3 linked regions of the Bombyx mori genome follow. Each later gene encodes a partner of the first gene's protein in a complex. Links are inferred from orthologs where the notes say so. Each region holds a gene or a part of one and is shown in the gene's direction. Other genes may lie near its edges.

What was found. The genes of interacting proteins can lie anywhere in the genome.
Region 2: DNA polymerase epsilon subunit 3 (region 1) and chromatin accessibility complex 16kD protein share a complex: the UniProt entries of both Homo sapiens proteins name them as parts of the CHRAC ISWI chromatin remodeling complex. The link is inferred for Bombyx mori from reciprocal best matches to the Homo sapiens genes POLE3 and CHRAC1.
Region 3: DNA polymerase epsilon subunit 3 (region 1) and DNA polymerase epsilon subunit 2 share a complex: the UniProt entries of both Homo sapiens proteins name them as parts of the DNA polymerase epsilon complex. The link is inferred for Bombyx mori from reciprocal best matches to the Homo sapiens genes POLE3 and POLE2.

What each region holds. Positions count from the first base shown.
Region 1 is NC_085130.1:7,455,838-7,458,904, reverse strand, and holds DNA polymerase epsilon subunit 3, read left to right. Parts: upstream 1-1,467; 5' UTR 1,468-1,592; coding exon 1,593-1,952; 3' UTR 1,953-2,481; downstream 2,482-3,067. UniProt on the Homo sapiens protein: Accessory component of the DNA polymerase epsilon complex. Participates in DNA repair and in chromosomal DNA replication.
Region 2 is NC_085111.1:17,749,354-17,753,771, reverse strand, and holds the start of chromatin accessibility complex 16kD protein, read left to right. Parts: upstream 1-1,457; 5' UTR 1,458-2,045; coding exon 2,046-2,171; intron 2,172-2,654; coding exon 2,655-2,912; 3' UTR 2,913-2,918; intron 2,919-3,294; 3' UTR 3,295-4,418. UniProt on the Homo sapiens protein: Forms a complex with DNA polymerase epsilon subunit POLE3 and binds naked DNA, which is then incorporated into chromatin, aided by the nucleosome remodeling activity of ISWI/SNF2H and ACF1.
Region 3 is NC_085134.1:2,670,625-2,674,184, forward strand, and holds DNA polymerase epsilon subunit 2, read left to right. Parts: upstream 1-1,145; 5' UTR 1,146-1,262; coding exon 1,263-2,828; 3' UTR 2,829-2,899; downstream 2,900-3,560. UniProt on the Homo sapiens protein: Accessory component of the DNA polymerase epsilon complex. Participates in DNA repair and in chromosomal DNA replication.

The sequences.
Region 1 (3,067 bases):
TAGCTTAAAAAAATAGAGAATATAACACGCTATCGCGTTTTTGTTCATTTGGACATCACTATTGTCAAAACAACACTGGCATCAACATTGCACCACGAGTTTGCGCAATACCTCCAAGCGTACCTAACTCAATAAAAATGTATTTATAAATTTTATTTCAATTTTATTACGTACTTAGTAAATTCAACAATTGACCTTCCCTTTTATATGTATTCACGTCATTCATTTTTAATTTTTCATCGATTTCTGTAAAACTAGGTCATTGACCTGTTTAGTTGATTCAGTTGTCAATTTCTATCTAAAAAGTAGATACCTATTATGTTTTAAAAACGAACTAACACGGACAACGTGTCCTTTGATACGCTAATATACGCTTTCATGGTAGTCAATGTATGCCTAGTAAATCTATGGTAAGCCTACTGATATATTTTATTATATTTTCTAAATAATGTTTTTAAGCACACTGGTCACTCGTAAATCAGCTGTTTACGGGTAACATGATAACGAACGCGAAGCTTTTGTGAACTGAAGGCCATGTTATTTTTTAAAGATGAAATTTTTATTGCTGTTCCTCCCTTCAAACCGGAATGCAATAATGCTTTGTGGCAGAAATGAGCAAGTAATTTCGTTCGTTTCTCATTATATCGACATCGTGCAAATCAAATAATTCTACAAACAACACGAGTGTTCGAACCATTGCTTTTTATTTTTATCAACAATCAACAAGGTTTCAAGCGAATTAAATGGCTGATTAAAATAACAGATTATCAGATTATAATAATTTAACCAAAAAATAATAGCGAAAATAAACTTTTACATACTTTTGAGTAATTTATTTTTTGACCGTGAATTATTTTGGATAATGGTGACTGCTAAATATTTTGAGTTAATTAGACGATAAAGTCGATTTCCCACCAAAGCATACAGTTTAAGTTTATCTCATATTGTCTTGATCTTTGCTGCACTACAAGCCCTCTTCTGGTCTGCATTCGTTAAATGGACATTATGCGTCATCATCAATGCGTGCTTTCTTGCCACCAGTGAATTAAAATTATCACGCAATCCTATATTTTTGTAATATTTTTGGAAAACAGATCGCAATGTTTTTATAGCATGTAACGTGAATAAGATTTGAGGTTTTAATTTTGAAGAATAATAGAAACGTTGAATAAACAACAAATAAACACGTGATAACGCTAAATACTAATTGTGAATTCGGTAGGCTACTACACTGCAGGATCTAACTGCTGGTATTGTCCCATCGTTTTATGTAACTTCACCGGGTATCTCATACAGCATAATAATATAGTTTAAGCCACGATACCTATGAAAACTTTGAAAAAAAGGCATTGTATTCCGAGTACCTATTTTTGAGACTTTTTGTAGCACGGCGACAGGCGGCAGTTACTAACCCTTGTATCCATAGATAATACACATAGAGAGTACTATCGTAACATTCGTAACTGTGTATAATCTATAACTGTGACTGTATGCTCCAATCAATGTCAAGAAATGTCATTAGTGCTTCTGGCGGTTAAATTAATGTTTTCATTTAATTCCAGATTTTATAAATAGGAACGTTATAAACAAAAATGGCTGAAAAACTCGAAGATTTGAATTTACCACTCACAGTTGTAACTAGAATCGTAAAAGAAGCTCTTCCCAGTGGCGTATCGATATCAAAAGAGGCGCGAACTGGCCTCGCTAAGGCGGCTTCAGTTTTTGTACTTTATGTGACTTCAGCAGCTACAAATATTGTTAAGAACAAAAAAAGGAAGGCTCTCACTGGGCAGGACGTGATAGATGCTATGAAAGACATCGAATTTGATAGATTTGTGGAACCTTTAGGAGAAGCTCTGGAACATTACAAGACCATGGCTTCGGCACGAAAATCCGCTTCTATGAAGAAAAAAGATGAACAAGAAGACGCTGAGATTATAGAAGACGATTGAATACTACTGCGACTTGAGTTTAAAATGTATAGTGGCGCTTAGTGGTGTATATTCAGAAACTGTGCTGAAAAACTATATGAAATAAGTTCAAAGAACCCATGCCTGTGTTACAAAAGTGATAAATGTTTAAATGAAACAAGTTTCCCATGAACATTTACAACAGTTACCTCGCAATAATTAATCAGTTGGTAATAATGTATGAAGTGTTTTAAAATTAAATAAACTTTTATTAAAAACAAGTAAACTTCAAAAGCATCCCAAAATGAATTGTGTCCACTTACTTTTACATCAGTAAATTAACTACAATTAAAACTTAGAACTTCTCAAAATTTGTTTTTGCAATTTGCTAAAATTAAAAGTATTTTATTTGATTTATTACTGATATTTTTCTAAACTTAATTTTTACTGCCATAAAAATTACTTAATGTTAGGTTATGTATGTATGTATGTTATGTAAATGTTACAATTATTACTAGATCTGGTCACACATCCTTTTAAAACTTGTAATTATAAGAAAATTTTGTTAGAATCTGGCTTTTCTATTATTTTTCAGTATTCTAGAATAGTCTCAAGAGAAATTAAAATAATGGTTATGTTTGTGTGAAAACCTCCAATTATTTTCATTCAATATATCATACAATATTCAATGCCCTGCTTATCTATGGTGGTAGTTCTCGAAACTTGGTAGTTTGTTTTGGCTTTTGTCAAGAGTGGGACATGACAACCAATTTGAATTAAATGATACGAAATATGAATCAAATGAGTCGACTATTATCAAAGCCGGCAATGTGACTTTTGGACAATTATTGGTAAATCAGAAAAACGAATTATTGACTTTGTATTCTGTTGGCAGTCACAAAACTCTTCTGAACGACATCTTAGATAAATAACAGGTTAAGTATTAACCTTTATTTAATGCAGGTTTTGAACCGTATTCTTTGAAGGAGACGATTATATTCAAATCAATCTGTATTGACATATCAATAACATTTTTTTGTCCAAATGCACAGATTGCCACCTTTGATAATAGACGACTCAAATACAATATAACATCATAGGATAAGATTCAAAATAAGTGTTTATAGGAAGTCTCAAAGTAGTTCCACTGACAAAGT
Region 2 (4,418 bases), on another chromosome or scaffold:
ACATTTCTTTCACCCTGGCATTGTTTTACAAAAAAAAAAAATACTTATTTGATAACACCCCAAAACTGAGGTGAATGAAGTTAGCCCCTCAAAAATTTCTTTTTTTCCTATTTTATACTTATTTTCTATTAATTCGTTTGTTCATCATTTGTTCATGATTGTTCACTGTTAATAATTGTTTGTTCTGCAGTTATTTATTTAAAAAAAATATTTAAAAATATACCTACAAGTTAGCCCCTCTAATGCAATTTTTAATATTTTTTCATCCTTAATAACTCGTAAATATTCATTTTCGATTGTTCTTATATAAAACACGTTTGTTCTCTTTCGAAATTACTCGTTTTTTGTTTAATTTACTATTTTTATTAGTTGAATAAATGTATGCAAAATATGTGTACTGCGCATGCGTCAACTATAATGCCTAAACTTTCTACGCGGTTTTAATCGTGAAAAAAAAAACAAATATAAATCCTGAAGGAGCAATTAATTGGTATACAGTTTAATTAAAAAAATTAAAAAATAAATAAATGAAATAATGTGCATTGGCGTTAAGTTAGAGCAAATACATTTTTTCCATCCTCCTACTTATCGTTATGAAGGTATAAAAAAGATAGGGAGTTCACATAGGTAATATAAACAAATAAGTAAATATGTTCATTATTTATCTTTCAAGAGATAATATAGGTATACATTATAATAACTTTTTTACACAGTCGAAATTATATTCCTAACATTAGTAAAATAACATTTTAATACGATAGGTAAGAGGATGGAAAAAATGTATTTGGTCTAACTTAACGCCAATGCACATTATTTCATTTATTTAATTTTTAATTTTTTTAATTAAACTGTATACCAATTAATTGCTCCTTCAGGATTTATATTTGTTTTCTTTTTCACCATTAAAACCACGTAGAAAGTTTAGGCATTATAGTTGACGCATGCGCAGTACACATATTTTGCATACATTTATTCAACTAATAAAAATAGTAAATTAAACAAAAAACGAGTAATTTCGAAAGATAACAAACGTGTTTTATATAAGAACAATCGAAAATAAATATTTACGAGTCATTAAGGATGAAAAAATATTAAAAATTGCATTAGAGGGGCTAACTTGTAGGTATATTTTTAAATATTTTTTTTAAATAAATAACTGCAGAACAAACAATTATTAACAGTGAACAATCATGAACAAATGATGAACAAACGAATTAATAGAAAATAAGTAGAAAATAGGAAAAAAAAATTTTTTTGAGGGGCTAACTTCATTCATCTCCAAAACTGAGTATGGCACAGTTTTTAAATTCGCCAATAGGCAAAGGGCTTAGCCCATACAGCCTTATAGTAAACCTATATGCTGCCAAACGAAAGAGTTGTCTGTGACTTGAACAACAAATTAAAAAAAATAGCTAATGGTTATAATTCACAGACTTTTTTAGTTTATTTTTGTTCAATTCAATTTTTATATATTGTAATAATAATTATTACTTTATATAATTATTTTTAGATATTAATGATTCCATTAGTAAAAATCTCAATGGCCTACCATTACTCTATTCTTATTAAATAATATGATCAGAGAGTTTTGGCGGCAACCCGAGTGAAGCGTCACTTGAAGTTTTATTTTAATGTTTTTTAATAGTTTATTGTGATGTATAATATATAAATTGGGTGTTGTTTTGTGTATTAGACGTCAATAATCGTTGTTCACGATTATTGAGGAATTGGAATAAAACTGTGGCTAACATAGCAGTGACTGTTTTTTTTTTCAAGATAAAAGATCTGCGGAAATTCACGCTCACTCACTTTGGACCCAACAAATCTTACAGAAAATTAAAATATTTAATGAGCAATGTTCCGCATGCCTTTCCGATTTACAAATGAAACAAAACAAAGTTTTTGATTTTGACGTTTAGTTTTGACTTCAGTTTAAAATGCTTAGAGATTCGCGGTCTGTTTTAAATAATCTATTTGAAATGAATTTTTAATAGTTCACCTATAAAATATTTCTAGTTAGTTTGTATTTCCTTTCGACTAAAACGATGGCTACCCCAAAAAGTGAAAAAGATCTGCATTTGCCCCTGTCCAGGGTTAAAACAATAATGAAAAGCTCACCGGACGTAGAAGCAGTTGGTCCAGAACCACTATATTTAGTCACTAAAGTTACAGTGAGTTTTCTAGAGGTTAACCTAAGTTAAACTAACCTAAACTTCCCAAGGCGATTTTTTTTTATTTATTACTTCGACGGTTGAACGTGCTCACGACCCACCTGGTGTTAAGTAGTTACTGGAGCCTATAGACCTCATCACTGTGTGAATGTCTCTACCCAACATGAGACATGAGGTTTCAATTGTATAGTGTAACAGCTGCCTCGCCCCTCAAACCGAAAATCATTACTGCTTCGCAGCCGAAATACCGATGTGCGCCCTACCGTAATGACTAGTTTTATGCAATTTTTTAAAATTTTATGAGTTTGATTTTTATTACACCAATTACTCCAATGATTGATGATATTCTATTTTGAATAGTCTGGACAGTATTTTATAGTACAACTGAGACTTAGATCTTATTTCGTAGGTTCTTAGAGTGGTGACAATCACATTGTGATAGCTATGGACTCCGATAAAGATTATAATCACACTAATTTCCAGGAATTGTTTGTAATGGATCTAGCAAAGAGGGCACACAAAAACAGTAATGCCAACTTCCTAGAATACAAACATATTGCTGATATTGTTCAAGAGGATGACACTTTAGACTTTCTCAGAGAGATCATGCCTCGAAAGATCACTGTGCGTCAATTCAAAGAGATGATGGCCAAGAAAGCTGCCAAGAACGGTGATGATTCAAGTGAAGACTCCAGTGAAGACAGCAGTGAAGACTCATCCAGTAACAATGAACAAGAGTGATAAGCTGTAAGTTAGAATAATTTAATTTACTAAATTTTTACTAAATTTTAATAAATAATTTAATTTAAGGACTAATACACTAATTTAGTTTTAAAATGCGTGTAGTCATAAATACTTTTCTCAAATATATTTAAGAAAAAAATTACATGTAAAGATCCTAAAAAAGTAAATAACTACACTGGAATTACTTGATGTAGAAGTCTAACTCATCAACCCTGGCAGTGATTTTTCGAATGTTACAGACTAAATCTTATTTATTTATTTTAAAACATAACAACATTCCCAATACACCAATAGTGGCCTGTTAGTGGATGCACAATGTTTTAAATAATTTAGCAAACTAGATGATCGTGATTTTAATCTTCAAATGTTATAATTTCAGGAACTACAAACACTAAGGGACAAATTCACAGACTGAAGAAAAGTGAAGAATTTAAACAGAAACAAATGTTGAGTGTCTCCTAATCTGTGCCAATAAGCCTATTCTGGCGTTGGGTTATTTTTATTAACTTAATTTTACAAATTGGTTTCTTTTCTTTCATGAAATGTAATAACATTTACAAATATTGTGCTCGTCAAGTATCATTTAATTGTGTCATTAAATTGATGATTGTGTCATTAAATGATAGAATTCTGCCTTTGCATGTTGTTTGTTAATCAAAATGTTATGCAATTAAAATTTGTATTACTTATGATTACTTTAAGTTTTTCAAATATTAAAGTGAAATAAATAACAGAAAGTTTATAAATTATATTGCTAAAACTTTGATCTGGTGTAATCTAAAAGTAATTGTCATTTCATGGACCATCTCAAACTATTTGTTGTGTGACACTTTTATCAAATAATTTCAACTATAATTAAGAGCACTGAAGTATGTTTCTCACAATATCTAAGGCATACAGGAGTATAATTGAGGCCGTCAACGCAAAAGTGGCCTAACCCACAATTTTTCATAATCATGTTTATAATTATGTATATTGCAATCTATTTAAAATATAATAAATTTTGATGCAAAACTGGCATATTCATAGTTTCACCCATAGGTAATAGATGACTGTAAACATTATTTTTGCCCCTATTGTTTTTTGCGTACTCAAATTTAAACTCGTGAAAATTTAAATATCTCTGCTCCATAATAACTATGGTAAGCTTTGGCCACTTTTGCGCTGACGGCCTCAATTGTCACATGAAGTTGGAGTTTCAACCATACAAGTGATTGAAACTCCAACTTCATGTGACAATTGAGGCCATCTGGACTCATAATTGCATTTGATCTGTGCTTAGTGCGAGTTTTGTAGATGTAGATTAAATATAGAATGAATTGTAAACATTTCATGTGAGTGGGATTTTTATAACTACTATTTTTTTTATTATTTTTGTTTTTGTTTTTTATAAGCATTGTAGGTAGCAATGCATTACCCATGGCCACACAAAGTCTATCGAAGCTTACATGTAAAGATATTTAAAAAAAGAAATCCAATGTTTTTATGCGGAATGTGCAAGTT
Region 3 (3,560 bases), on another chromosome or scaffold:
TATTTATTCAACAAGCGAGAAAGTCAAACTGAAATAAATATGAGCGGATTTTAGTTATAAACATATGTTGTGTTCAATCGTTCGTCAGCTTAAGAAGCGGGAATACCCAAACTCCAAACGGTAAAAATGTAAGCAATACATATTATGACGCAAGAATCCGATTACCGATTAGTCATCTTTTTAAAAATTACTCAATACTTTTGCTTGTACTGCTTGTAGTACAAGATAAAATTGATAATCATAGTACAGTACACCACTTTAAAGAGTAGTTTTAATATTTTTTTGCTGTCATTAAACTTTAGTAGGTAGGTACAAGGTTGTAGGTACGTAATAAAATTTGGATCAAATCATTGATATGTTATTTTAATCTATTTTGAATTCTATTAGATTAGAGTAAAAGTTTTATCAATCTTTAGAGGAGGCCTTTGTCGAGAGACAAGCTGTTTTTAAAACCACGCCGAACGTCGAACGGAATAATTGATTATAAGTTCACTTAAATTTAATTTATTATTAGGTAATGTATTAAGTTAGTAAAACAGCAATAAAGGCTAAAAAAAAAAATACAATACAATCACTGACGGATAGGTCTATGAATACAATACAGTTTAATAAATATTTCTGGCTGTATTGCATAAATTTATCTGGCTGGTTTTGATTAGTGTTTTGATTCCATTTGAAAAATGTATTCCCACCATTTTTCTTTTGCGAAGAATCTGCCGCAACCACGGTACCGTACATCCTTATATTATGACACATGCATTTTGAAGTTCTCGTGGCCTAAAGGATAAGACTTTCGGTGCATTCGTATCTTGCGATGCATCAATGTTCAAATCCCGCAAACAATTTTTATAATGAAATATGTTATTTTATCAAATGTTCACGAAGTTATAGACTTCCACGGTGAAGGAATAACACCGTGTAATAAAAATAATTGCACTACTGTAAAAACTGAGACCTTAGAACCTTAAGAGACCTTATATTATCTCAAGGTATAGGTCCATGGACTCCCGTAACCACTTAACATCAGGTAGACCGTGAACTTGTCTACCCAGCTAAGTAATTAAAAAATGCATTTACATTTTCGTATTACAAACGGCTTCGACCTATCAAAATAAAGTACAAGGCTAAAAGTCGGATTTATGGGCTATGTTTCCTTTGCTTGTCTAATTGGATAAACAAAAATAAACATGCTTTTTAAAATTTATTTACTAAAAATATGTGATTTTGTTTACAAAAAATTTGATTACCTATAATAAAAAAGTATGGAATCGGTACGTGCAGAAGTTAACAATGCATTTAAACTTAGTGGATTTACTATACGCAAAGAAGCTAGCACTTACGTTGCCGATCAAATAACTTCAATGACTCCACATGAACGACGGGCAATTCTTGACAAGTTAACTTCACACATTTTAAAACAATGTATTTCACAGCCCGTATTAGAGAAAGAACACCTGGAAATCGCCTTCAAAGAATGCTCTGCATCGGGTCTTGAAGAGACCGAAACTGTTTTAAACGTAATCGACGCTTTTAACATTCCCAAACTGAGTTACGACAATGAGAGAAATAAGTTCGTTAAATCTGTACATAAGAACAATTTATATCCAGAACCGAAGTGGAAAGCGCAATTCTTGATAGACAGATACGAAATAATATGGCAAAGAACTGTTAGGAATAAATTGTTTGCTCAAGAAGCCTTGCCTTCATTGGCCGAGGAGAAATATTTCCAATTGCGCAAAATCGAAGCGCTGCTAAGCTCTTCTAGTCGAATCGATGATGTGATTGTGCTCGGTCTTTTAATACAGTTGACAGAAGGAAAATATTACTTGGAAGATCCAACTGGCAGTGTTGTTCTCGATATGTCACAAACAAGGTACCACTCAGGCTTATTCACTGAATATAGCTTCGTTTTAGTTGAAGGTTATTATGATGACAAGGTATTAAATGTTATGGGCCTTGTGCTACCGCCGCCGGAAAGCAGAGCCTCGTCACTGCCATTTTTTGGTAATTTAAATACATTTGGTGGAAATTCTAAGACTTTACTTAAAAACTCTAAGTCATTGCTAAAGATTGAACAGGAAAATAAAGAAGGAATGATTATATTCTTATCTGATGTTTGGATAGACACATTGAAAGTTATGAATAACTTAAGAACATTATTTAGTGGCTACAATGATTTTCCACCTGTGGCTATCGTGTTCATGGGTGAATTCCTCTCGTGTCCGTATGGTCAGGAGCATTGCACACAGCTACGAATGGCATTATCAAACTTAGGTGAAATAATAGCTCAATTCAAGAAATTGAAAGATGAATGCAAATTTATCTTTGTACCTGGCAGATCGGATCCTTGTGCTGCCAATGTTTTACCAAGACCAGCAATTCCAAGTTCCATAACACAAGGTATAAGAGAAAAATTAGGTGATGCAGTCATTTTCACAACGAACCCATGCAGAATACAATACTGTACACAAGAGATAGTAGTTTTCAGGCAAGATTTAGTAATGAAAATGTGTAGGAATTCTGTACATTTTCCGGAGACTGGTGATATTCCTGATCATTTGGTGAAGACTTTGTTTAGTCAATGTACACTGTCACCATTGTCATTAGCTATACAACCAGTGTATTGGAAGCATTCGGATTCTTTAAGTTTGTATCCGATGCCGGATTTGGTAGTGATTGGCGACCATTTCCAACCTTATACTCGCTCATATCAAAACTCGCAGATTATGAACCCTGGGTCTTTTCCGCGAACTGAGTTCTCATTTAAAGTGTATGTACCAAGTACGAAAACAGTTGAAGATTCACAAATACCGAAAGATGATGGATGAAATACCTGGTTAATTAAAAATTGGCTCAAGAACTGAATCATAGTTGATAAGTAAATCAAATTGTTTTACAATCTAATATTTTATTTTCATACCCATTTTCAAATAAACAATTTTCTACAGTTACATTTAAATAATGAATTTATTAGGGTGCAAAATCCATTAAGCCACCCCCCTGTCTTGTGACAACTTCTGAGCTTGCCCGATACAGGACCCAGGAAAGGTAGAAAGGGCACAGAGGTCAACACAGAACCACCCTAAGTATGCCTGGCTGACTCATTAAGTATGCATGACTGGCTGAAAATTACTTGACGTTGGGTGTCGCGGTTAGTCAAGCAGTGCTGCTGCTATTCCAGATACTCCCTGGACCATCCTACCGGGGTCTATATAGATGTTATTTAATCACGTTTATTAACAGATGAGTAAAAAGCCCACATCATGATGAGTGGTTACCCTTGGCTAGCCATCATATAATATAAGATATTTGACAGATGCCTGAATCTCGGTTACGACATTTTCAAGATAAGCTTGCATATATTATACAAGTTTAACAACGTTCGGACCGTCGATCCACCTGCAACATCACCCGCTCAGTGGAAGATCTTCTTTTTGTCGTAATACCTCCACACTATCGCTCATAGACAACACAAAATATTGGCCTTGGCCTTTTAGTTACATTTTTGGTAGATAACATTTTCCGATATTACTCCTTCAATTACTGAATCATAATAGTTC